Elephas maximus indicus: one gene and its partner. The protein of the gene in region 2 interacts with the protein of the main gene of each other region in a pairwise test. Links are inferred from orthologs where the notes say so. Each region holds a gene or a part of one and is shown on either strand. Other genes may lie near its edges. The genes, in order: HBQ1 and RFESD.

Region 1 (2,482 bases), on a different chromosome or scaffold from region 2:
GTGGAGTAAAAGTTATAAGTCCCTGCATGGATCATGATTTTAAGAGGAAAAATACAGAAAAGAATAAGAGAACCTTTGGCCTCCCTGTCCTTAGACGGACAGAGTGCTGGAGTTGGACCTGCTTCTTCCACCAGAGTCCTGCAATGAGAGGCTTTCCCCTCAAGCCTTTCCAACCACAAAACCACCAATACCAATACACCAATACACGGGGCAGCTGTGTACTATTGTGGGGTTCAGCCCTCTGCGAGGGCATGTGGCCGAGGGCAGCGTTCCGCAGCCCGCACCAGCAGGGGGTGCCATTCCCTATTTTCTCAGAGGCTGAGACCGCATGCGTTTCCTGGTCCCTCCACCTACCTGCGCCACCAGTCTTGCACCCCCACGCTCCGCCCCAGGCGGGTGAGGGACCAGGATCCCAGAGGAGACCCCTAAGAGTGGCGGGGCCAGGACAACAGCTGCCCAGCCGCAGGTGTAGGGACCTATTACCCCCTACCCCCCTCCCTGCTCCCGAGGGGCCACCTGGTCTGCGCCCCGAGGGGCTGCGGCCAAGGACACACAGTCGGGTGAAACTTCAAGACATGGAATTGGGCTGCACCCCCTTCCCGGGACTCCACCCCCACGCCCCCTCCAGAGAACACCACTCCAGGCAGCCTGGGGCCTTGGGGACTTTACTCAAACGAGCCACGCGGTTGGGCTGCTGGGAGGCCCAGGACCCTGCCCCCTCGCCCCCTCCCTTTCAGCGGTACTTGGAGACCAGCGCGGAGATCACGTGGCTCAGAAACTTGTCCAGCGAGGCCTGCATGGTGGCACTGAAGTCTCCCGGGTAGTGCCGGGCCAGGGTTACCAGCAGGCAGTGGCCAAGGAGCTGCGGAGCACGGGGTCGCGCTGCGCTCAGCCCCACGGCACCCCAGCACTCCTCTGGGTCTCGTCAACCCCAGACCCCGGCCCTGATGGGGACCGTGCCTCCCTGGCGACGGTAGGACTGCCCGGCAGGGTCCTCACCTTGAAGTTGACTGGATCCACCCTCAACTTGTGCGCGTGCAGGTCGCTCAGCGCGGACAGCGCGCTGGGCAGGTCGTCCAGGTGGTGGACGGCGTGGGTCAGCACGTCTGCCACCTTCTTGCTGTGGGCCTTGACCTGGGCTGAACCCGGGCTTAGGTCGAAGTGGGGGAAGTAGGTCTTGGTGGAGGAGAAGACGAAGAAGGTCCTGCAGGTGGAGCGGCGGATGAGCGGTTACCTGGGGGTGGAGGGCAGGGAAGAAGGGGCGTCCCGGAAGGGGATTGGGGGAGCGCAGGAGGGCGGCAGCCCCCAGGGGCTGCAGGAAAGCCCCAAGGGGAGGCTGGGGGGCTGGAGGGGAGCCCACCTCTCCAGGGCCTCCGTCGTGTAGACGTCCACATTGTCGCCCAGCTTCCTCCACAGCGCGCGCACGGCAGCCTGCTCCGCCGCTGACAGCGCCATTAACCCGAGTTGAGCCGCCTTGCGGCTCCAGGAGGCGCCCCTCACAGGCCGAGTCCCTAGCCAAAGGGGTGCCGAGCGCTCAGTCTCCCTCATCGGGCCTGACCCAGGACCCTCCTAATTGCCTTGTACCCTGAGGGGCCCAGTCGCTTTGAGTGTCTACTATATGGGAAATAATATTTAGTATTTATTAGTAGTAGATAACACTGTGTTTTAGCATGGAACTTGAGTTTATTCTGCTTCCAGAGTCTTATTACACCTCTGGAGTCTGTTTTCTCATTTGTTGTATAAAGTCTAGATAACAATTTCTCCTTCTCCGGATTGTTGTGAGAATTAAGTGGGAAACATGTCAAGTGTTATCTGATAGCAGATGTTCATTTCAGTGCAGTGGACATTTATTGAGGGCCTGCAGTGTACCCCAATAATAAGATCTAACACCCAGGTAGCACTCACTTTGGGCCAGATGCTACTCTAAACCCTATTTTTTAAACTGTGGTAAAATCCATATAACATAAAATTGACTATTTAAGCCATCTTAATGTGACAATTCAGTGGCCTTAAGTACATTCACAATGTTGTGCAACCATCACCACTATCTGGTTCAGGAACTTTTTCATCACTGCAAAAGGAAACCCTGCACCCATTTAGATAGTCTTTTCCATTCCACTTCCCCAAGACCCTAGCAACTACTAATCTTTCTGTCCCGATGGGTTTGCCCACTCTGGACATTTCATATAAATGGGCTCATACACTGTGTGTCCCTTTTTTCTGGTTTCTTTCACTCAGCATAATGTGTTCAAGGTTCATCTATATTGTAGCATGTATCAGTGCTTCATTCTTTTTATGGCCGGGTTATATTTCATTGTATGGATGGACCACATTGTGCTTACCTGTTCATCAGGTGATGGACACTTGGGCTGTCTCTGCCCTTTTCGAGACCCTCATTTTTCCTACTGATAAAATAAGGATGCCTGCCTCTTCCCAGGGGCTTATATGGTACCACTGCAGTATTGAGCACATCACAGACAGA
Region 2 (3,925 bases):
AGAAGGATGTGGCAATGTGCTCCTGTAAAGATTATAGATAGCGCTGGAAACCCCATGGGGCAGTTCTACCGCATCCTATAGGGTTACCATGAGTAGGACTTGATGAGACTTTTCTTTTTTTTTTTTTAACCCTAGATGATAAGGAAAACCCATTGCTGTCCAATCTATTTGGATTCATAGTGACCCTACAGGACAGAGTAGAACTCCCCCATAGGATTTCCAAGGCTGTGGTCTTCACGGAAGCTGACTGCCACATCTTTCTCCTGTGGAAAGACAGAGTCAAGAAACACTTTGGTGAAAAATCTATCAGACTCATCTAGTCTCCTGCTGTGAACACAAGTATAAGGGTTTTTGTTTTTAACTCAGAGACATACAGAAAGAAAAACAAAAAGTTGCTCATAATTTGCCTGACCATATAATGCCAGTTGACATCTTACTATAAAAGAACATACTTCGTGTTTACAAAAATTACTGCAAGGTTCAAAAGATGAAAGTGAAAACCATTTCTCATGGTCACCCCACAGCAACCCGTTAAATTCCTTTTCAATTATTTTGATAAAGTTTATATATATACCTGCATATTTGTATCACTAAAGATAATTTTTATTTATACTAAAGTATATACAGTATTCTATACTTTGCCTTTTTAACATTCATTGCCCCAAGGCATTTGTCATTTGCGTATACAGCTATAATGTAACTCATACGTCTACACTGTATTTTATTTAACCATTTTCCTGTTGATGATCACTACTTTATCTTATTCTTTCCTTGCAATCAACACACTTATACATAGATTAAAGAACCCTCATGATGCAAAGGTTAAGCGCTCAGTGGGTAACTAAAGGTTGGCCCTTAGAACCCACCCAGCAGCTCTCCGAGAGAAAGACCTAGAGATCTGCTTCCCTGAAGATTACAACCACAAAAACCGTGAGATTGTTCCACTCTGTCACATGGGGTCACTGTGAGTTGGAATCGACTTGATAGCACTAAACAACAAATACATGGATTACATGCATTGTGACAAACTTTTGCAAATATTTTTATAAGATAGATTCATAGACGTGAGATCGTCGGGTATATTTAAAATTTAGATACTGTGGTGAGATCAACAAACAATTAAAAAAATAAACTGATGCCACCCATATCTGTCAAACACACCATTAAGACTGCCAGTTTGGAGGTCCTCACTGGGCGTGAGTGGCCAGCGACCCCACCATCAGCCACGTCATCTGGCGGCAGGGGCACCTAGGCGGCCTCTGGGGCGGGCGCTCTCTGGTCACGTGGGCAGCTTTGCCCCCCCCCCCCCCCGCCCCGCGGAGGCGCCGCGCGCGTAGCGCGGTGCTTTGACTCGCGGATTCGCATCACGCGGAGGCCTCGGCGGCCCCTCCCGCGGAGACGGAGCGCGGGACTCGAGGACCGTAAGTTCTGTTCTTCCCGGTAGCCATTGGGCGGCCTGCGCGAGGCGGGGCTCGCGGCGTCCGCTGCTTCCTGTCGGCGGCACGGCCGGAGCGCGGGCTTCCGGTTGCGGCTGCGGCGACCTGGCAGCTGGAAGGCAGTTGTCCTGTGGCCTTTGCTCCCGGCCCCACTGAGCGAGCCCTACCGCCTCACGGGGCCCCGGCTCAGCCCCGGTTAACGGTTAACCCGCTGGCGCAGGGTAGCGCCGGGTCAGAGTGGCCTCCCGACCTTGCTCTCTGAGTAATCTGGGTCTCACCCTGGCCCTGACGCCTCACGGTGGGGGGAGGTGGGGTTAAAACAAACTTTACTATCACGGTGGGGGGAGGTGGGGTTAAAACAAACTTTACTATCAAAATATCAAAGTTTACAGCCCCGTCTTTCCCAAATGTTGGTCTCCAGAAATCCAGAGAATCCACTGAACAGCCACGCCCAGACTGTCTTTGTGGCTCCTGGGCCTCTGAGCTCTGCTGAGTGATGAAAATGCGCTGGGCTGCTAACCAAAAGGTTAGTTGTAAGAACCCACCCAAAGGAGCCTCAGAAGAAAACCCTGGTGATTTGCTTCGGAAAGGTCACAGCCATTGAAAATCCTGTGTAGCACAGTTTTACCCTGACACACATGGAGTTGCCATGAGTTTGACTTGACAACAACTGGTTTGTTTAGTTTGAGCACCACTTTAGTATAAGAACTGCAGACCTCTTTACTAAACTGTTAAGTACAGCTTGAAGTCATTGATTTATAAACTATCAAAGCTGGAAGGACTTTAGGGATGACAGCTAACATTATTTGGGTATTTCCCATAGTCAGGCCTAACTCTAAATATTTGACGTGTATTAAAGCATTTGTATTATTTATTCCTCACCCTGTAATATGTGGCAGGTGCTATTATTACAAAAGGCTTTCTTACAGAGGAGGAAACTACTGGTGCAGCGAAGTTGTGCAGCCTGCCCCACAGTAAGACGCAGAGCCAGGATTCCCACCTGGATCTCTCATATAGTAGAGGAAGGTAGTGAATTCCAGAGTAGCTACTTGAAGTGCAGTGAGTTCATTAATTTGACCCTTCTAGCCATAGTCTTTGTAACTCCAACCAAATGACTGAGTAGGACTGTGCAAATGAGGTGCTCGTGGCCATCAAGGGGATTGGATAGCTTGCTAATAATGTAAATAAGGTGCATGGCACCCTTGTGGGAGTAGGACCATGCAAGTAAGGTGTGTGGAACCCTGATGAGGGGATTGGTCAGTTTCACCGTCCTACTAGGCTTAAAATGAGCCATCCAAGATGTGGGAATGGGGGACCTCATGACTACCAAGAAGAAGAGATGGGACTGGAGGGTGTCCTTTGGATCTGGGATCCCTGTGCTGAGAACCTCCTTGACTCAGGAGATAGAGACCTGTAATACCTGAGACAGCGGAAAGCAGTAGCAGAGAAATGGCGGCAGCAGAGGCAGCAGAACCAGGAAACCAGCAGGAGACTTGCCGCCAGAGTAGTGTGCCTCCAGGCACTTGGTGGAGCTAGGTGTGCCCACCCCTGGAGCTAGAGCTGGGCGCCTTCTGATCAAAGCTTAGTGGTGGAGTGGGGTGCCTCTGGGCACTTACCAGCGAAGCTAAAAGAGCTTTGTAACACTTGCCTGAGCAGGGCAGAGGTTGGGCCAGGAGGGCTGAGGGCCAGAGAGAGGCCTGCCTTCTGCATGACTGAGAAGTGGCTGTCCTGATCAAAGAACTGTACCTTGAGCATTCCTGAACCTGAATTATAACCTGTTACTTTCCTAATAAACCTCATAACTATGAGTATGGTCTGTGAGTTTTGTGTGGCCATGGTAATGAATTATCAAACCTAGTGACAAATAGAGAGTCCCCTGGGAGGGACGGTTGGTGTCAGAATTGGTAAAGAGGTTGGAGGAAGAAAGTATGTGTGACCTTCACCCCATAGGAATCAGCCTTGGGCTGATCGTGATTCTCCTTCCTCCTTGTGAAGTTAGAGGAGGTTAGACACTGTCCCCATGCCATTCTTAAACTACTTGACTTTATTAAGTTATTAGGCAGCTATTCAGTTTTAAACATTTAAACATTTGTTGAGACAGTTCTTCCACATTAACGTTTCCAAACCAAAAAAAAAAAAATTAACAACCATTGTCATCATATCTATCACCGTCGTCATTTGGGGTTTATATATATGTATAATCATATATGTATGTGTACATATATATACATACTTATATATACTTGCATGTGAGCAATTGATGGTCTGTTCCACAGTCGGCCCCTGGTCTTGTTCTGACTGGTGATATTGCACTTTTCCATCGTCTCTTTCCACAGATGTAGTCAATTTGATTTCTGTGTGTTCCATCTGGCGAGGTCCATGTGTATAGTCGCCATTTATGTTGGTGAAAGAAGGTGTTTGCAATGAAGAAGTCGTTGGTCTTGCAAAATTCTATCATTCGATCTCCAGCATCGTTTCTTTCACCAAGG

Evidence for each region.
Region 1: the proteins of RFESD (region 2) and HBQ1 interact in binary tests that used the Homo sapiens proteins (3 or more experiments, as listed by UniProt). The two-hybrid records come from large-scale screens. The link is inferred for Elephas maximus indicus from reciprocal best matches to the Homo sapiens genes RFESD and HBQ1.

What each region holds. Positions count from the first base shown.
Region 1 is NC_064830.1:57,503,363-57,505,844, reverse strand, and holds HBQ1 (hemoglobin subunit theta-1), read right to left. Parts: upstream 1,479-2,482; 5' UTR 1,456-1,478; coding exon 1,361-1,455; intron 1,205-1,360; coding exon 1,000-1,204; intron 863-999; coding exon 734-862; 3' UTR 651-733; downstream 1-650.
Region 2 is NC_064820.1:102,942,614-102,946,538, forward strand, and holds the start of RFESD (Rieske domain-containing protein), read left to right. Parts: upstream 1-1,317; 5' UTR 1,318-1,421; intron 1,422-1,857; exon of another isoform or gene 1,858-1,962; intron 1,963-3,925.